Linked DNA regions of Oryzias latipes. The protein of the gene in region 1 interacts with the protein of each later gene in a pairwise test. Links are inferred from orthologs where the notes say so. Each region holds a gene or a part of one and is shown in the gene's direction. Other genes may lie near its edges. The genes, in order: rpp30 and rpp14.

Region 1 (10,482 bases):
ATGGGGCGTTTGGGACAAATGATTCTTTTAAATTTAACAACCTGATCTTCCAAAGCTCCGCCCCTTTAGGTTACAAAACTGATGATGATGTCATTCTGTACGAATGATGAACTCAGGTGACTTCACTGAGGCGTGTCTGTTCACACACCTGTTGCAGGAGTGACTGCGGCACGTGCACGCACATACGTGCACAATGTGGTCTGCACATGATCCAGTTTCAAACCAGACTGGAGGTTCTCCATCTTCAGGTTCTGTTTGGGACAGAACCTCCTCCTGCAGGAGAACACGCCCAGCAGCCCAGCAGACCGCAGCTTTCTGAGGAGCAGGCGGTGAAACTCCGCCCCCTGCTGGTCACCAGGAACTGCAAAGGATGTGCTCAGTTCTGGTGGATCAGAACCAGCGCAGGGAGGAAAGAAAAATCACCTTTGGATAGTAGATTATGGAGCTGCTGCTGCAGACCCTCTGGCTGCCGGCCCGGTTCCGGTGAGTGGGCTGGCCCGTGGCGCTGCAGAACCCGTTGGTCTGATGCCAGCGCAGCAGAGCTTGAGCCTGCAAGAGAGACCGACATCAGAACCAGGAAATGGACCAGAAACAACAGAGTTCGTGTTTTTTTAGCATCCTGGACTGGGAGAGGAACCAGAACCGCATGTTGGGTTCCAGCTGCTGACCTTGGCCACCAGCTGGGCCGCAGGTCCCGGTAGAAGAAAGAAGGATTTCCTCAGGTCTATGAAGGTCCCCGCACAGAATTCTGCTACTGCCGCCTGGTCCAGATGTCCTAAATGAAGACCAGAACCACAGAACCTGTATGTCATGGTTGAGGGAAGGAAACACTGGTGATTCTGTCAGGCGATCTTACCAACATCCAGGCAGAACTGAGCCTGGTTCTGTTCACTGCAGCCAATCAGAATAGAGTCTTCTAGCAGAGGTCCATCAGAACCAAAGTTCTGGAGGAGTGATTGAACTCCTGAAACAGGGACACAGCAGTCTTAGCTTTCAGTATTAGGTTCTCGTTCCTCCTGAGGTTCTGGTACCTGAGCAGGTGAGGGTGACGGGTCTGAAGGTTCCGGTGGGTCCGCGCTGCAGCAGAGGCTGAAGGCGGTGGAACAGAACCAGCTGACCGTCCTGCAGCGCCGCCGCACACGCCTCGTCCTCCTGCTTCAGCCGGTTCAGGAATCTGGACCCAGTTTGTACATCAATCACATCAATCGGGTCACTCGATCAATCAGTTTGGGTTCCTGACCTCATCCTGGACACAAAGCTGGAGCTGAAGCGGGTCAGACCCAGAACCTGAGGTCTGGCACTGAGGATCCCCCTCAGAGGGTTTAGGAGGAGCATCGTTCTGGGTCCACTAGTCAGAACTGGCCTGGTTCTGTTGCCTGCAGACAGGAAACAGGTCAAAGGTTCTGCTGGGGTCCGAACCTATTCTAACAGACCGGTTCCTATCCACATGGACTCCCGGTAGACTCGGGAAACAGATGTATGATATGATATTCCAAACATATAGCCGAACCGGAACAGACCTGACCCGTTCTGTGCTTTGGGGCAAAGTTCTAAAGTTTGACAACACCGAGTCACGTGTTTCACGCGATGTTCTTTTAAGTCAGCGGGAAGATTTCAACGGACCGGTAAAACCGAACCTTGGGATTCAGTATCAGAATAGAACCGTGGTTCGGCTCGGTTCGTGTCTTTTCGTACCTGCAGGTTGCTGAACGTCTTCCTCGGCGGTGCCTCACAGAGCGAGATTGACGCGCGCACCGCCCCCTGCTGGCGGGAAAGGGGAACGTTCCGCTCCGGACCGGAAACTGATCTGAGATCAGAGTTTTTATTATATATTTTATTTTTTATTGAAGACACAAACTTGAGGTTTACAATCTTTGTGGCAGTTGTCCAAGGTGTTTGTCAAATTATAATTAGATATAGCATAGAAAAATGTAAACAATTACAAAATTAGGTAAAAGAATATGGTTTGGTTTAAAGGAATCGACATTTGTGTATATAAAATGTACCCAGGATAGTTATAACATTTAAAACGATTTCTGTGTTTTTGTTTTCTAAAATAAACCCAAAAATGATTTATGGAAAAGTCTGATAGACATGGAATCTTGGGGAAAAGCCAATAACGTATATCATCGTATCAACGTATATCCTAAAAGGCTTTAGAGTAAAAACATTAAAAGAAAAGATGCTCAGTTGTTTTAATATCCTCATTACAAAAAGAACAATTTTCAGGAATTCCGTTTTCTGAGCAATTCTTTGTAAGGGTTTAGACCTGAAAAGGGTTTGAAAAGTGGACTTTAGGTTGAGATCAGAGCGACACGTGAAAAGAAGATAAATAAAAACATGTAAAACTGGGTGTGAATGCACAAAGTAGACCAGCAAAAACACACAAAAAAGGTTATTTCATGTGTTTATTTATAAGTTTCAAGGATTAAAGGGGTTATTGTCATTGTACAGTTAGGAAACAGGTTTTCCTGAGATGCTCACTTTGCTTTTCGCTCTGAATACCACAAGGTTAAAAGGTTAAACAAAAAGATAGTGTACGATATTTAAAACTCATCATTTGCGGAAAAAAGATGATAAAGGAGAACAATGACAATAATCAGTGAGAAACAAACCAGATAATACCTGAGCATTAACTGAATTAACAGTAGGGCTGCACGGCATAAGCAAAACTTGCGATATTGGTGATTAATATTGCGATAACGATTGAATTTACGGTATATAAACAAATAGCAAAACTACCAAAAAACATCATTTCCATTTTATTGCAACAGTTTAAGAATTAAACTCCCAATGACATCAAATCCTTAAAGTTTTACAATTTTAATAGATTCTTGGTAATTAAAATAAAACAACAGTTTTGACTGACAGCTTCATTCATGCAGATGGTGAAAATTGTTCATTCCAGTCAAAACTTCAAACCTCCTTAACTTAACATCCATCTGAAATTCAACGCTGACATCATGTATGACCCTGAAAGAGTCCAGACATCATCGTGGATTTCTGTAGCATATTTACACCAACATTCACAGTGCAGCAAACCTTCTGTTTGATTGATGGGGGACCATCCTGATGATAAATGATTCATCTGTTGATTTGACACTAAGACAAATATATTGATTACAAAGCAAAGGTTTCTGAGGCACAACTAGGACTCCTTAAAGGAATAAAAAAAAAAAAACATAACTTGAACTTATCCAGTGATGAAAGTCAGGCAAGGAAAAAATCCCTGAACTTTTCTTTGAGCGATATGGCGGGCACAGAGCGAAATTTTGGAAAAATACGTGGTCTTAGATGCATTCTGGTGCATTCTGGCAGCTAGTTATTCACTTCTTTATCAAAAAACTAAGACTAATTGGAGCATCATGATTTGTCATTCAAACCCCTAGTTTGACTCTCCATTAAGGACTTGCTGGTCCTAAAAAAGAATTTGGAAAATTGCTCAAAGTAACACAATCCTACAATCTACGCTTTTCCTTAAAGCTGCAAAACATACAATTGCTAAAATATAGTAACATCAAAGCCCCAAATGGCAAAAAGAACACCAGTAACTATGATATTCTATGAAAATACCTCAGTTATTTATACATTATTTCTGCTTTAGAAATGACTGATGTACAACATCCACTTGCACTGTTTTCTCAAACTATAATTACATCAAAATATGGGATCTGCTTTAAACTATAATTCTATAACATAATACATCAATTCTTTAACACCAATACTAAGTAATCTGGGAAATATCAAAACAAACATACAAACTAAACAAAACATTGTAAACATTATTTTTTAAGGGAGTGCGGGTCCAAACCATCAAATACTTATAATTAATGTCAACTATACTGAACTAAATCATGGTAATTAGGAAATACAAATAAATTAGATAAAGAAATGTATTCAAAATAAAAACTGAAACTCAAAACTAAAATTGAAATTATTTCAAAATGTGGTTTTGAGATTATTTTACACAAAAAAGTATTTGACCTACACTACCTTAAAAATCTTTTTTTTTTTTCCATCCAAGACCACTTCAATTTGTTTTTTATCGTCTTCTCACAACTGAGGTCGTGACCACGCTCAATAATGACGATGCCTGCCATTATTTTAACACAAATTTGATCGCAAACTCTACAGATGTGTTTGTGAAAGTTTAGCGTGGGTCCGCCAGTTTTGGTCTCTAGGGAAGCAAGTCACGCTGACCACGTGGTGCAGACAGAGCCAATCAGACCCGTCGACGCATCCGAAAGCAACTAAAACGTCCCGTCATTGGTCAATTAGGCCGGGAAGACGAGAGATGGCCACGACCATAGAGGAAACGATCTGCGGAGAAATATAGAAAATAAAGCTAAAATTAGCTGATTTCAGACCATTTTTTAATCCGGAAAGCGATTTGTCCGTAGAGATCAGGTCTTTATTTCCCGGAAAGTACGTTCGGTTTGCTCAAAAACCCGGATTTCCGGGAATTCCCGGAAGACTTTCATCACTGCTTATCAAACAGAAAAAGACTGGACACTAGTCCTGGATTTATCTCTCAGTAAAATAAATGGTTTCACGTCAACCAATTGCTGTGTAACCCCCCCCCCCCCCCCAAATAAATAAACAAATAAATAAATAAAAAAAGGAGCATGCATAAGACTGACATGCCAATAGATGTGTAAATAAAGATGAGATCAACAAAGAAACAAATTAACCAACTATAAATAAGTGGATAAAATAAAAATGAATGGGGATTTCAAAAACTGACATATTGTCAATAATTAATTTTTTCAAAGATAATTTTAGGTTAAGTAATTCAGAAATCCAGATGAAGAATAAAAAACTGGGCTGGTCTCCCACCATCGCGAGAACCCAGTGACGCCCCTGCGCAAACGAGACTTCAACTCCCATCGGCCTTTGGGGTTTCCGCACGTGCAGCGTCATGGCGGTTTTCATGGACCTAAATCTGATGTTTTCGGCGGACCGGACTCGAATCAGCAAACTGCTGGAGACGGCGGCTCACCGTAAGTTACCCCCCGAACTTCCCGGTTCTGTGGTTCGGCAGCTTCGCCTGTTTTAGCAGAAATACCCGGATGTTTTAAAGATAGCTGGCGATTCGAATCGTTTATTCCCCCGCGCGCTGCTTCCCATTAAACCTCCGCGTGAAAAGTCCTTATGGAGAAGAACCCGGTTCGGACGTGACCAGAACTTCCTCCTGTTCGACAACCTCTGCTGCTGACGTTCCTCGGGGTTCTGCTAGGACGCTCGTGTGGCTCACCTGTGCGCATGCGCTCTAAAGCCTTCTTCTTGTCTTTGCAGTGGGTTTCTCCACCGTCGCCATCAACTACATGTTCGAACCGACAGCCAAGCAGAAGCAGGTCAGTCCACCCGGAACCACAAACTCCCACCTTGACGTCATGGCTTTTACTTTGAAAGTCTCAGCTTCCTCTGCAGGAAATTCCTGTCCCTAAACCAATCAATGAGCTGATTGATCAGCTGCCCGTCGTGCAGGGGCGCTCCCGCCCCATCAGAGTATTGAACAGGCTGACCGTGGTGGTGTCCGACCCCAGTCACTATGTAAGAGTCTGTGCTGAAGTATTGATCGGAATCAATCAGCTGATCGATCCAAACCTTCTGTGTGTGTGTGTGTGTGAACGTGTTCAGAGGCCCAACGCTCCAGAGTATCGCCGCTTTGACCTCCTGGCGGTGCAGCCCACCTCGGAGAAGCTGTTCCATGTGAGCTTCACTGATGTGTTCAGTGTCTTCAGGAGATTCTAGTTGTGGTTTGTGTTAGACATCAGTCATTTGTTTGTGTGTGTGTGTGTGTGTGTGTGTGTGTGTGCGTGCAGGCGGCCTGCATGCTGTACGACATCGACATCATCTGCATCTCCGTCACCGAGAAGCTTCCTTTTTTCTTCAAGAGAGCGCCGATCAATGGGGTGACCTCTCCGCCGCCAGGCCTTCTCGTTGTCGCCGTTGTGCGACTGCATGTGTGCGTTTTTCTGCATGTGTGCGTTTTTCTGCATGTGTGCGCGTTGCTGTGTCCAGGCCATCGACCGCGGAGTCATGTTCGAGGTGTCGTACTCTGCGGCCATCAGAGACTCCACCATGAGGCGCTACACCATCGCCAACGCCGCCAGTCTGACGGACAGCTGTAAAGGGAAGGTGGGTTCTTTGCCCCGCCCACTCTGAGGTGACATCATCACTCACCTGACACATCTGTTGGTCTTTCAGAACGTGATCCTGTCCAGCGCGGCAGAGAAGGTCAGTGTTCTGAACTTGCCCACACCATCACACTGCCACCCCCGTGTTTCACAGTGAAAGCTGTTTTTACTCCACCTGTTGAACCTCAATGGCAGACCTGAGTTTTGGTCCTCTCAGGCTCCCGTAGTTTTTAAAAATCCTTTGTGTTTTCAGGCTTTGGAGCTGCGAGGACCGTATGACATCACCAACCTGTATCCTTTGATCATCACGAGTGGGTGGGGCCCCGTCACAGCAGCCGCCCCCCCACAACAGCAGTGTCTGTTTGTTGTGTTCCTGATGTGCGTCTTCAGAGGTTTGCTGTTCGGTTTGTCAGATGGAGACGCAAAAGAGGCCGTCTCCTCCACCTGCAGGGCGGCGCTGCTGCACGCAGGTGAGGACGGACGCCATCCCAGGCTCTTCCTCTTCCTCCTGTTTAGGGACAGAGGAAGCAGAGACTTTCAGTCCACGACTTGTGGACGGATCCTGGATGTTAATTCCAACCCGTGTGTGTTTGTGGTCAGAAACTCGGAAGACGGCCAGCGGGATCGTGTACACGGCGAGGAGCCAGCAGGAGGCGCCGTCGGATCCTCCGGAGGGTCAGTTCTGGTGCAGAAGTGAGCTCAGCATCCGAGTATCTGATAAGAATGTAACGTCTACCTGTGCAGGTGACACTCCTGCCGCCAAGAGGGTCAAGACCACCTGATTGACAGCTAGGGAGGCGGGGCCAGCTCCGATTTCTGTGACTTCATTATCATGAGTTTTTCTTTTTTAAATCAAGTATTTAAAAAAAATTTTTTTGGACAACTTTTGTATTTTTTTGGAAAAATAAAATTGATTTAAGAACCTCCCCCCCCCCCCTTAAAAAAAGGAGTCTTATTTCAAAATCAAAGCGTATCAAAGCTTTTATTCTGAAATCTACATTACAAACGCTGTTAGTCTTGGAGCTTGACGATAATGAAATAAAGTTTAGGAGGTCGTTCCTTCACATTCAGATTGGACATACAAATATAGATATCTTTATAAAAATAGAAATGTACGAACAGGAAGACTAGTGAACATTTCTGGATTCATATTTCATTAATCGTACAAAGATGTAATTAAATTAAACATTTTTTAAAGTTAATTCAAGTCACTAAACAGAATTTTTCCCTTAAACACCACAGAGGGAGGAGTTATCCTGAGACCAGACTGAGGGGAGAAACACCCTCCCTGGTGAAATAGCCCTTTACTGTTAGAGGTCAAAGGTCATAGCAGTTTCTTTGGACTGGATGGATTAAACCAATCAGACGAGGAGGGCGTGGCTTAAACTTACTGAAGCAAAAAACCTCTAATAGCCTCAAACATCAGAGTGTTGCAGAACAAAATCAAAAGTAAACACAAGTGGGGTGGACGTCCCGACCCGCTGGAGTTACTGCGAGTCGATGGAGGAAGACGATGATGGCCTGAAGCTCTGGCAGCAGCTGCTGAAGAAAAACCCTCAGGTGGAGTTTAAGAGTAGTTTGATGGTTGAAGGTTCAGACGAGTCCTCCAGAGACTGCAGGAAGTTCTCCTCCTCACTTCAGAGACCCATGATGTGGTTGATATGACCCTAAAAGCACAAGAACCAAGCAGTTGACTCCATCTCCCAGAATTCATTTCACTAATAAAAAAGCCAAACTTAGAGGTGCTAAAGCTGATGAAGAAATTACCGGCTCTCCTCCGAGACATCGGGCGCAGCAGATGGTAGGAGGTCTGAGATGAACGGCACGAACCTGCGCACACGTCAAGGGACCTCGTTTCTATGGCAACAGCAGCATCACATGAAGCTGAGGCTTCTGATCTGAACGTGGAACCTCAGGGAGGTTCTGATGGGAGTCAACGGGCTTTTTTTGTTTTGTTTACGTCCATCTGGCCAGAATGTTGACTTTAATGAACAACATCTGCAGCTTCAAGCACTGACCTGCTCCTGCTGACTGGTCACCGTGGCAACGCAGGACGTCTCCATGGGACACTCCGCCAGCTGCAGAGCCGCCTCCATGCACAGTCGCTTCTGGATGCAAACATCATCAGTGTGTTCAAACTTCTGCTTCATTTATAGAAACATCTGCAGGAACTGACCCAGACCCGAGTGAAGCGGTTTTGAAGCTAAGTTAGAATCACAGACAAACTCCGTGACAGCCAGCTGATTGATCACCTGATCATAATAACGACCCCACCCCCTCTACTTTCCAAATGACAACCACCAACGTGAACTTCTGGAGCCGTGAGATCTTCAAACTGAAGATTTACTTTTCCTTTATCTGGAACCTCAGAAGCATCAGAACATCCGGGCCCAGAGTGGACTTGGATGGGTTCTTAGAACCGTATAAATCTGGTCCAAACATCGTTCTGACAACAGAAGCAGGAGATAAAGGTAAATAAACGGTTGGGCACTTCAGCGGGCAGCCCAGTCAGGGTCTTCAGTCCCACTATGGAACCAGGAAGTGGATGTTAAACAAATCAGCTAGCTAACTAAGGTTTAATCAGCGGAAGGACAACTGACTGATTATTATTACCTGATCAATCAGGACTGAAGTCCACAAACGTATTTTTCTCTCACCTGCACTGGTTTACAACTCCAAAGCTCCGCCCCCTCCTCCAGGAACCGCCTCTTCAGCAGGTTAGCGCCTTCCATGCTAACATGTAGCTTACTGGCAGGAAAACTTTCGCGTTCGCGCAGTGACCGGAAGCTGGCTGTGTTTACTGCCGGTATACAAACAAATCCCCGTGAAACCGGGCGGGTCACCGGTTAGCCACTCGCCAGGCGACTGTGGGCTCCCTGCAGCTCTGGGTCACGGAACCCTCCGTCCTTCCGTCGACCTGCAGACTTTAGTTTACAGCGGGACACATCCGGTCCAAACACGTTCTGGCCCTTCACAATAAAAGCACAGATGAAACGGTCACATTGTCAAAGTCGGTTTAGTCTTTGAAATTATTGTTCAAAAAACAATGAAATAAATTTCATAAGATCCCACAAATGTATCTATCCATATATTGACCTCTCGTTCTACCGTTCAATCGTGTTCAGTTCATGTTTAATGAAAAAAAACTGAAAACAATATTAATTAATACATTATAATTTCTGGAGAGACCGACCAACAAAACATAGAGTTTAAGTTTTGCTTTTTTGTTGGAAAATTTTTTAATATCTCTAAACAGCCACATTTAGGTGTAAATTTTTGCTTTTAATTTGAATATTTTAATCTGGACCGGAAGTCATACTTCCCCCTAACTTCTTTATTTTGACCTTTTCCGCCATTCCCTTTTTCCACTCTTTTTCAAATACAGTGACGTAACAGCAGAAAAAAACCAATCAGAGGAAGGTCAAACTTTTAACGTCACCGTTAATAAGGGATCAGAGTTTTAATGTTCAATTTTTTAAAAAAAGATGTAAAAAAATTAACACATTTTAAGATATAATATCAATGATATTTGTGAAGTTTACCAACATAACAAAGAAACACTTTTCCACCTTTTTTTCCTCCTTGTGTTAAAACCAAACAGCTCTGGTCAGACATGGAAACATTTGTAAATTCTCTTAATATATATATTTTTGTATGTATTGAGTTATAAAGTTTATTTGAGACCATCATAAAAAACAATCAATGCTTAATAATTAGCAGAATATGTAAATCAAAGGGTTTTTGCTGCTGCATTCTGAGCCACCAGGGGGCAGCAGAGCACAGGAGCTGATCCTCAGAAAATCACAATATTTATGGACAACAGATCAATGATAACAAAAAGACTTATTAAACACTTTGAACTGATCATGATTTTTAGGTTTGAAAAAAAAAGAGAATTTCAAAACACAGAAAATTATAATTTAAACATTATATTTTTGTAATATTGTACCCCTGGACTATGAAATACACATTTCAAAAGCCAAAAGACAAGAAAGGTTTTCCTTCTTTTGTTCTTTTGTAAATCTAAATAAATGTGAACATACAATAAATAAATTTGATCAGATAGTGATGCAAAGGAGAATTTATTTATTTATATTTTTGTCAACAGGCCAAAGCCCATTAATAAGCAAAATCACACAAAAGTTATTCCTTCCAATTTCTTCCTCCAATTAACTAAAAAAGATGATTAACAACTAAACCAGATTGAAGCTTTAATTTCCACATTTAAGTTTCTTTTTTTAACAGTTAATTATCTAAATATGAATATTATGTGACCCCCTACTAAGGGTAAATGTCGTTATAGTTAGATGTTCTTTTATTTTGGGAAAAAGTCCACTTTAGA
Region 2 (10,447 bases), on another chromosome or scaffold:
CCTCGTCTGAAGTTCAGACACTTTCTCCTGTGTTAAAGGCAGCAGTGGAAATGATTCACACCAGGAGAACTCCCCAATCCTTTGAATAACACAGTTCATCAGCCGCAGCAGAGTTAATGAAGCTGAAACCGCCGCGCCTGCTGATGCCTAACGACAACAACTTCAGAATCACGCCTGAATCAAGGAGAAGTTTTCAAAGCACAATAGAAATTTTACATAAAGTGTCCAACAAAACTAAAATGTATCCACTGACTTAATTTAGCTGTGATAAACTCACTCATGAAAATTTTTCTTTAAGAAATGATGGGTTCTAAAAGGGAACATTAGAGAGCTGGTTAGAGGATAAACAGGTACTGTTAAAGAGAAAAAGCAAGGGGAAACTTCAGGCTTTTGTCTGTTAAATAAAAGGGAAAAACGGGTGGGTCCCATTACAAACCAGACTTGACTCATACGTATACAATTAAATTAACTAAACCATTAGAGATCGACTACAACAAAAATCGTGTCTTGGGTGTTTTTAACATGTTTTTAACAAGCATTGTTCTGCTTAAATGTGCATTTCTAAGTCTTTCTTTAGTCAATTGTTGTAGATTAGGCATAGACAAAAAAAATGCAGTTTGAAAAAGCTTGTAGCGGTGATGTAGAAAGCTAAAGTTGGCAGGCCACAAGCTTCCTGCTGCGCTCCATTCTGATGTATCCACTTGCAGACAAATAGATCCATGTATGCCTTTGTTTTCTTCGTCTGAGCTGATTTGAAACTATACGGCTGACTAGCAGCTACATTGCTTGCCATTATTGTTACTCCGGTATTATTAGTTCGGGGTTGTAAGGCATTGTAAGAGAGTGTAAACAAAGGGATGATGGGAAATGAGGGTAGGTTTACTCTGTGCCAACAGTCCTTCCCACAACTCAGAGATGAATTTTTAATGAACAGCTGCCGCTTTGCAGAAACTATTTCCTAGAAAATGACACAGGTTTTTGAATTTTGGCTAAAAAAAAGCACCAGACCGCAAGGAACGCTTTTACAATAGATTAAAAGATTATCAGAGTGGGATTTTAAAACACTTGCGCGCGCATACAAAAGTCCTTGAGCAAGACACTCAACCCCACACTGCTCCTAGTGGGCATATGTTGGCCCCAGTGCTCGGCAGTGGAGCCGCCATCAATGGGCGACTGTGACTGTGACTGTACAGCGCTTTGGACCTTCTAAGAAAGTAGTGAAGCGCTGTATAAGTATCCGCAATGCCTATATAACTCGTTGAGTATACACCATACACCATTTATGAGCTCTTTCCCCATCCATCACGCCTTTATTTATTTTTTCTACCCAATTTCCTTTAAGATAAAAATATAATACAATGGAAATTATAGTTTACTACAGTTCACGCGTGATCTTCACTACAAACTAATGCGCTTTAAGAAAATTAGAAAAATTAGAAACCCTTTTTTTCAATTTTCTTCCAACAAAGATGGATAGAGCTTATGTGCAAACGTGCAGACGACATCTCTCAATGAAAACGTTCAGTCTTTCTTTGGAGGGAAAATGAAGGCATAGGCCACATGCCTCACAATGAGGAAATGAGACATGACCGCTCTGAACTGTCTGAGGCAAACTGGACATTTCAGAGCCACTGCAGACCAGACAGCGCTTCCTTTTTCCACGTGAAACCAAGAAACAGATTTTTTCAGACCCAACGGCAGTCAGTAAGGGAACACATAAGGCTTATGGGGTTTCTACTCTAAGTCACTGTGACTTAGTGTCGATTTTTACTTACTGAAGCTAAAGTCTATAAGGCTCAGGTAACTCTGTTATGATCAAATTAAGGGGTAACATGATGACAGAGAAATTTGCAGAACAAATACAGGCACTGTGAGTATTCCTGAAATCATTTTGTGTGGTGTAAAACAATGTTAACACTCGTCCGATGGATAAAAATTCAGTTTATGGCATAAAGCTTGAGACAGAATGAATGACTATGTGGCCATCTCAGTAATCATCATCCACTGTAATCTGCTCAGTCGTGATGCTATCAAGCACATTTTCTTTTCTGGACTTCCAGCTGTTATGTTATGGGTTTTTTGGTGGAGGTTTTTCAGAAAGAAACAGAAAAACTCACCGTTGTCATTTAGCTTTTAAGTCATTTTTTACGTTTCCTCGTGTTTTATACACTTTTTCCTTGTTTGCTTTTGCATAAAATGTTGGGGAGGATTTTATTGTGATTACTATTTTTATTAATATCATCTATTTTCTTTACATTACATTATGTGCAGCCATGATGCAGGGGCAGACCTCTGATTGGAAGATCGCCGGCCCATGTGTGGAAGTGTCCTTGAGCAGGACACTGACCGCCACATTGGACCTGGTGGTTATAAATTGGTGCCAGTGTTTGGCAGTGAATCCATCATCAGTGTGTGAATGTGTGTGTGTGTGTGTGTGTGTGTGTGCATTGGTGAATGGAACTGTGATTGTAAAGCATCCTGGGCCTTCTTAGAAGGTAGTAAAGTACTATATTAGTATACAACATTTACCATTTTAATGAAGTTGAATTTGAATATGTATTTTCAGTTTTATTTCATCTTAAGTCTCTTTGAGCAACAGCTCTGCTGCTGGCAGCTCACATCCAGATAGATTACTGTAAGCCTGCAAATCTCTGAGTCCGAGGCCAAGTGTGGACAGGTGACAGGCAAATTACCCCCCCCACACACACACACACACAGACACACCACCTTCCTCTGCTGCATATGAAAGCTATAATTGAGTGGCCGCGTGTTCCTGCATTCGCCTGAGCTAAAAATCCATGTGGGCAGCACATAGACACATATGCAACGGCATAATGTACATGGTCTTACAGCACGTGTGCTGTGTAACTTAGTAAGGTAAGCGCTGTCAAATACGAAACTCCTATTGTCCTTTTTTTTTTTTTTTAATAAACCAATTACCTGAAACCCAAGAAGAATATAAACAACTCTAAAAGCAAGAGTTGTAACAATGAATCGACTTAATTGATGAATCGATTTATATACAATCCAACACATTGATTTGTCTGAAGCAAGTTGGTAATCAAATTGACCTATATCATATTGTTTAAAGGTCTGTTCATAGTTTCAAAATGAAATAGATTGATTATACTAATATTGGAAAATACCATTAAGGCACAGCGGGTTTATTTTACTATAACATAAAAACGTACCATCACAGCGGACACACATGCAACGGCGGCAACATATGATCAAGCCATCATTCCAGCTCAATGTGTGGAAATACTTTGAAATTTTCAAAGACACAAGACCATACAGGGTGGTAGTATCTTCTAATAGTTTGTATTATTTTGATGTGGAAAAAAAACAGTGGGCTGAACTTTAGGAAACTAAATTGTGAATGGATTTGCCATTAATTCTTGTTTACGTATGTGTTTGTACACTTAGTTTGATTATCTTGCAAGAAATACAAGGAATCGTCACCTGCACTGTTCAGAACGCAGGTATTTATGTCTGAGTCTGAATTGTTGGCTAAAGACATCCTGGATAGATTGTAGCTCAGTGAATTGGATCGTTCAAAATGAATCAATCTTGAAAAGTATCGGTAATTCTATACAAATCGAATCGCTGTTGAAATGAAACGCTACACCTCTAATAAATATGTATTAGCAAAGATGACTTTTTTTAAATCACCTTTGAGCTTTAATAAATGCAACACTTTTTGGTTCTTCTGTCCATTCACTTAGTGAATGTCAGTTATCCAAACAAATATTTCTATTATTTCCAAGTACATGTGACACTGAAGTAACTTCCTCATCTGTTTCCTTCTGAGCTGACTGTAATGTTTACTTTGTCATATGGCTGTGTGTTGCTTTAGTCATGCATGCATTTGCAACACCTAAAGAGACTGCATGTGTATGCAATACTATACTATCTATGTAATTACAGCGACAGTCTGCGCTCCGCCGTCCACTGTGTGCGTCAGCTGCTCTCAGAATGGAAAGCTTCAGGACTGTTTTTTTTCACTACCTTCAGCGCGCACTTGACTCCAGTCTTCTTATTGAAGCACTCCAGGACTTTCCCATTGATCCCCAGGCCCAGAACCTGACTGGAGATTTTGTAATCGTCCGTCACTGCGTTGCGTTTTATCTCCAGTTTGGTGTGAACCGGCATGGGGAAGTGTGAGGGCTCGGAGTCCTTGTCGTCCGCCGCGGGACCGGGTGAGTCACCCTTCGTCTCCCCCGTCTCTTCTGGTTGCGGCAGCTTTTCCTCCTTAATATTTCCATTTTGAAGCATGTTCAGCACCTGGGATCTTACAGGGGGAGGTCAATTCTCCAGCAACCCTTCCGGACCAGACCTCTAGCCGCGCCGCATCGGCTCGTCCAGGACTCCAAAGGAAATCTTAGTAAAACTCGCTAAAGTATTTCACATAAAAAAAAAAAACAAGTTTTTCTCTCTTATCGATCAAACCTGAAGTATACGGCTTAAGTAACCTGTCCGGTCAGGAGAGTTCTCCCAAAAAAATCGAAGCGGATCGGTTTACAACAACCGAAAATAAAAGTCCGGTCTGCTGTCTGTGACACTGACAGACCAGCAACTCCGACCTGCAGTTGATCTTGAGTCTCAGTCACTCTCACGTGTTCCTTCAGCTCCTGTCACTGTTTGTTTAAGCCCCACCTTCCTTCCTTTATTCATTCATTCAAGGCGACAGCTTTAAAGGAGCCGGACTCAAACACACTGATCAATTTCTTTTCAGTGGCATTTCATTCATTGCTAGTGATCTGTGGAGGCCAAGAAGTCTCAAATTTAGTTTTTTCAGACTGGTGTAAAAACAAGAAACTTCTAGAAATATCAACTAACTCTCAGAGTATTATTCAAATTGTACTTCAATAAATTCCAGACAATAACACGCATTTTGTATCACTGTTGTGGGAAAAAGGGTTCCTTTGACCCCTTGACATGACACAAATTTTTACTTTGTTGGCATTTTGTGGCCACAAACTAGGTTCTACAAATTAATATTCTGTAGCCATAAATTTTTAAGGAATTAATCACACCAAAGTAGTAATTTGTGTGCACAAAATGCTCACTTGAGGCGACAAAATGTTACAATTTCAAAACAAAAAGTTAATCTGTGCCCACAAATTGTCAATAAAATACCAATTTGTTGTCAATAAAATACCAATTTGTGGCAACAAAATACAAATTAGTGCACACAAAATTACAATTTGTGGTCAAAAAGTATTGTTCTTAGGGAACAATCTACTCATTAACTTTGAATGTCATGTCCAGGGCTCTGTACTTTGACTTTTTTTTTTGGGGTATATTAGTTTGGCATGAGTTTTTATTTGCATCCTGCAGTGCACCAGTCATTAATATGTGTAAACAAGACAAATAAAAACTTTTTGGGACTAAAGTGGCATTTATTATTTTGATTGCATTGGTTGGCTAATGCTGTAGAAGCATCTCTCCCTGAAATTGCTTCTGTGGTGCTACACAAATCAGCGTACTCTGCCTTTTATTAAAAAAGGGTGGTGGTGGGGGGGGGGGGGTGATATTTTTTATTGGATGTTTCTTTTTATGTTGTGTGTGGATGAGACAATCATAAAACTTTTATGAAGGAATTAGGGAACAGTACTGGCTTAACAATACAGAGAAAATTATTTGATAATAGACATTCATGTTATAGCAACAAGTAACAAGAGAAAAAGCAAGTTTGATATGCACTCGATCTAGCCTACTCCTTCCATTCTCTGCTAGTAAAACTATGTTTAAAATGTTTAAAATATTAACTTGGAATATACTTTTTAGCAACTTCTAAAGGTTCAGTAATTTCCTTTAAGTTGGCACTCAGCACATTTACAAAAAAACAAAAAAGAAAAAGAATTCACCCAAGGACAGGGAAAGTTTCCCTGCAGCTGCTCTGACCGTGGAACTGTTATCCTCAGATGACAATGAAGAAATCTTTGAACCTGTTCATGCCCATGAAAAGAATGTTTGCTTTTAACAATGTTAAATGTAATTCTTACATTTTTTGCACAACATTCTTTGAGACTCCACCATTTATCATACATGTGCAAAATTTGTAGTTAATCTTCAAACCTTTTGCATGATCATTGGATGATATTTATTTGTATACCTGCATTACATTTTTTTACAGAAACGACTTGAAATGATCAGTTTTATTTGTTTTAATAACACTCTTTCTTGTAAAAATCTAAAGTATTGTTCTTTAACGCTGGTAACCCAATAACCTATATAGTTTTTATTTATTTTGTTTTTATTTGTTCAACTTTTCTTGTTTTATTCGTCTGTTATATTTACCTGGATGTTTTTAGTCCTTTTGTTTTGTATCCTGTAGTAGTGAAATAAAGTTTTAGGAAGAAAAAAATCATTTCCGCTGGAGTTGCGCACGCGCATTGCTGAGGTTTTCATGGCGGCGCCCGTCGAAGGAAAACATGCAACTGTGACTTCAAACTGGTAAAACTGTGGTGGTGAGTGCAACGTATTATATTAAGTATACACATATTGAAATCCGGGCAGTTATTGTCCGTATCTTGGGAGAATTAACATCTTACAACGTAGGTGCTAACTTTAATTTGAGTTGGCTAGTAAATATTTCGCTTTCCTGGTGGTTGGTGGTTCGACCTTGGCTTTTTTGTTTTTCAATTTTCGTTTTGATTTAACACTTAAATCTTTTGTTTTTTTGTGGAACAATTCTGAACAATAAAAGATTTGGATATTTAAACGTTTGCAAAAATCCAGATAGGAAGCTGAACAACAAACAAAAACTAGCTTAAACGGCGAAATTGTAAAACATCAATAAAAAATAAAACACACCAAGAGAGAGAAGTTAAAGGAAAATACTACAAATGTACCACAATTTACAAAATTTTAAGATTTAATTTTGTGCTCTATCATTTCTGACACCATTTGGAAAGATTTTCTGTGTCAGGGTTGTTTACCTCCAGGCCTCCTGCTGATTATCAGGTTGAGGTGTTTTTCCAACAAGAAGAAGCTGAAAGAGCAGAAACACAAGCGTGACATCGACCGCGTGAGGACTGCAGTCTGAGACCTGTGTTGCAAATCATTCAGAAGGACACACGCACATCAGTAATCTCTGCTTAAAACAGCATGTTGGTTCTTCGGGAAACAGATTTTTGTGGTTTATTTGTTTCAGTTTGACGGAGTCACTGATGTTTCACTAAAATGAAAGCTATCAACAAAGAGGAGACTTTTCACCGTGTCGTGTTGAAGAACGCTTCACCGCACCACTACATGAAAGTCCACCTGTGAGTCTCTGTTCAAGATTAATGTTCTGTCTTTAGTGTCTGCCCAGCTCTTAGAAGGGAACTTCATCTGTATGTTACCACTTGTGTTTAGTGAACTGGAGGATAACTCAAACAGATTGAGTGCAGTAGAGCTGAAACACTTCATCATCGCAGGCCTGAAGAATCTTCATGGAGAGGTGAGATTGTGCACTGAAAAAGAAGAACTCAATTCAAAAATAAGAGCTGTCAGCGCAATGAAGCGCTGAATACCATTATGAATGCATTTCCATTGAAGACCCCTTTAGATGAAAATGGTCTTTTAAACATGTTCTTGGGGCATTTTTCTGATGATGGAGGACATATAATAAGAACATTAATCTAAAAATCGCATTTCAAAGTATGTGTTCAAATAGTTGGGAATCAGAAGCAGACGAAATAAAATGCAGTTTAAAAAAAGGTTGTATTTTTACGTAGAAATTACAATTGGCAGGCCGCATGCCCCCTGCTCCACTCCATTCTGATGCATCCACACACAGTCGAATAGATCCGTGTATGTCTTTGTTTTCCTCGTCCGAGCTGGTATTTGGCTCAAAACTGTACGTCTGGAAAGCTCCAATATTGCTCTCCATTTTTGTTGCACCTTTAATGTTAGGCTGGGGTTGTGAGAGGCTGTAAGCTAGTGGGAGAGTGTTTAAACAGAAGGATGATGGTAGGTTTACTCCATGCCAACAGTCCCACCTGCAACTCTGAGAATTCTAACGAAGTTTTGCTGCTCTGCAGAAATTATGTCCTAGAAAGCAACACAGATTTTTTCACTTTGGCTGGAAAAATCAACGACTGCACTATCACAATGAAAAGTCAACTGGAAACGCTTTTATAATGCTGCTGTTTGCATAAATGTACCTCAGGTTGGAGCAGCGTTGAACTTTGATGTGTTGAAGTATGATGAAGGAAGTCTGACGGCTCTTCTGCGTGTTCACAGCAGGTCAGCCTAAAGGCATAATTGTCAGAATTTCTAATTCACATTTCAAAGTTTGTGAATGTTGTGTTAATTATGCTCTTTTCTCCCCCCCCCCCCCAGTGGTTTAGTGAAACTGTGGAGCTCCCTGACTCTGCTCGGCTCTTATCAGAACCAGAGCTGCGCCTTCAGGGTGCTGCAGGTCAGGAAACATGTTTTCTACATTTGGTGATTGTGAAATAAACCATTTTGTCAGTGGAGCGATCAAATTACTGTTGGTTTTAACTCAAAATGAGAAATCTGCTTACCTGCTATTCAGATGTAAATAAAACTCCCCACTTTGCTCTCAGGTGTCTCCGTTCCTGTTGGCGCTGACAGGAAACAGTCGTGAGCTGCAGCTCCACTGAAGCGGGAGCTGCTTCTGGTTTGAGTGCAGCCATGTGGAGAAACATCATCAAACTCGGTTTGTCTTCTGTCGCGGCGGCTCGTCCTCACAACCGGCTGCTCCACGTCGGACAGCGAGCTTCCCTCACCAAAACGTTCTCCTTTCGCCACGTCGAGCTATTCGCCGAGCTCACAGGCGACACCAACCCGCTGCATGTGGACCCAGCATACGCCAGCACCACCTCCTTTGAGACGCCCATTGTGCACGGCGTCCTCATCAACGGGCTGATCTCGGCCGTGCTCGGCACCAAGATGCCCGGCCCCGGCTGCGTCTTCCTGCACCAGGAGATCCGCTTCCTGGCACCACTTTACGTTGGAGAGGAGGTGCTGGCAGAAGCAGAGGTGTTCAAAATCAAGATGTCGTTCGCCTTCATCTCTGTGAGGTGCTCTGCTAAGGACAAAGTGGTGATGGAGGGGGAGGTCATGGTGATGATGCCTGTGGAGCAACAGCATCAGGGAAAGTGACTGGAGGACATCCAGATGCAGCAGATTTTGGTTTCAAGTTTGGTTTTAAATGAGGTCTAAAGACGCGTGTCAGTCGTCTAGCTGAATTTTTGTTTTTCTTCATTAGAAAAAGTTATTTTTCTAACTTTTCAAGTTTGATCACATTTTAGAATTTGTAATTACACCTCAGCATGCTCTTTGTCTTTTGGTGATTAAAGTTATTGTATAAAAATAACAGGTTAAGTGTTTGTATTGTTCAGGTTTAAAAGTCCCCGAAGTTTCTGCTGCTCAGAGTATCCATGCAGCAGAAATGATGGTTGGAAACAGGATTGTCTGTCAGGAGATGATGGGGTTCGATTGAAGACTCGCACAAACAAGTTTGTAAAAATAGCAAAGAAGAAGCTTTATTGAGAGCGGAGCAGCAAAGTGGGACACACAAGTAGAACAATGATCAGAGACCCAACAGGGCTCTGGCCTCCTGACTCTGAGCCTGAAGAGTCTCACTGGCGTAACGCTGCAGCAGCTCCATCTTTTTCCTCCTTACCAGAGCTTCCTCCACCTGGGGCAGAAACAAATGTTATGGATGTAGACCATCATATTCTTATGCAACAGCAATATAAAACCCCATTGGAAGTTCCTTACTCTGATGGAGTGAATGATTAAAAAAAAAGAAAAAAGTATGGTACTCTTAGTTATAATTCAATCTTTTGCTTCTCAATCAGCAGCCTTTCACTCTCACCCAATCGGCAAATCAGCCAATCAGATGAATGATAACCAAAAAAAGAGCTTGTGTTCTTCACCCAACACGAAGGAGATGACAAAATAGTGAATGATACCCGGAATACAGGAAGTGATTTATTTTATTACAACTACAAAAAAAATAAAGAGATTTTCTTAGGTTCAGGAAATTCTGATGTATCCACGTATCTCTTGTTCGAACTGTTTAACAGTTCGATTGATAGCGTGAGGTGTGGACTTCCAACACGCTCACTCCTAATTGGCGAGAGTGGTTGCCATAGAAACATTGATTCATACGGGCTCACTACTGGCTACTACAGTCTGCCTCCAACAAGATCCGTATCCTGAAAAAAATGGCGACTGACTTTTCACTGGAGCTGAAAGTAAGCCATTTTTATGGGTGACATCACACTCACTAGATCCAGTCATGCATAGTCAGTGGACCTGACTGGAAGCTACAGGGGCTCCACTCTTCATCGCTCCACAACAGAACCACACGCATGAAACCTCACCTCCTTTTGAGATGGGACTGGAACATGGGCAAAAAACGTGACTCCGCCCTCCTCTTCCTCCAGTTCATCCCGATTCTCATCATCATCGGGCTGTGAAGAGA

The links.
Region 2: the proteins of rpp30 (region 1) and rpp14 interact in binary tests that used the Homo sapiens proteins (3 or more experiments, as listed by UniProt). The link is inferred for Oryzias latipes from reciprocal best matches to the Homo sapiens genes RPP30 and RPP14.

What each region holds. Positions count from the first base shown.
Region 1 is NC_019877.2:1,033,746-1,044,227, forward strand, and holds rpp30 (ribonuclease P protein subunit p30), read left to right. Parts: upstream 1-4,653; 5' UTR 4,654-4,918; coding exon 4,919-5,000; intron 5,001-5,254; coding exon of another isoform or gene 5,255-5,264; exon of another isoform or gene 5,265-5,295; coding exon 5,296-5,354; exon of another isoform or gene 5,355-5,364; intron 5,365-5,418; coding exon 5,419-5,553; intron 5,554-5,640; coding exon 5,641-5,712; intron 5,713-5,825; coding exon 5,826-5,915; intron 5,916-6,024; coding exon 6,025-6,141; intron 6,142-6,210; coding exon 6,211-6,240; intron 6,241-6,393; coding exon 6,394-6,610; intron 6,611-6,740; coding exon 6,741-6,815; intron 6,816-6,884; coding exon 6,885-6,922; 3' UTR 6,923-7,067; downstream 7,068-10,482. Other genes in the region: nudt13 (nucleoside diphosphate-linked moiety X motif 13), read right to left, coding at 424-549, 669-775, 857-964, 1,032-1,174, 1,241-1,376, 5,255-5,264. UniProt on the Homo sapiens protein: Component of ribonuclease P, a ribonucleoprotein complex that generates mature tRNA molecules by cleaving their 5'-ends. Also a component of the MRP ribonuclease complex, which cleaves pre-rRNA sequences.
Region 2 is NC_019863.2:25,337,030-25,347,476, reverse strand, and holds rpp14 (ribonuclease P protein subunit p14), read left to right. Parts: upstream 1-5,581; 5' UTR 5,582-6,473; intron 6,474-6,969; 5' UTR 6,970-7,188; coding exon 7,189-7,271; intron 7,272-7,362; coding exon 7,363-7,447; intron 7,448-8,158; coding exon 8,159-8,235; intron 8,236-8,331; coding exon 8,332-8,410; intron 8,411-8,558; coding exon 8,559-8,615; 3' UTR 8,616-8,646; coding exon of another isoform or gene 8,647-9,117; 3' UTR 9,118-9,331; downstream 9,332-10,447. Other genes in the region: MAP kinase-activated protein kinase 2, read right to left, coding at 4,009-4,275; hydroxyacyl-thioester dehydratase type 2, mitochondrial-like, read left to right, coding at 8,647-9,117; pre-mRNA-splicing factor ISY1 homolog, read right to left, coding at 9,548-9,655, 10,347-10,436. UniProt on the Homo sapiens protein: Component of ribonuclease P, a ribonucleoprotein complex that generates mature tRNA molecules by cleaving their 5'-ends.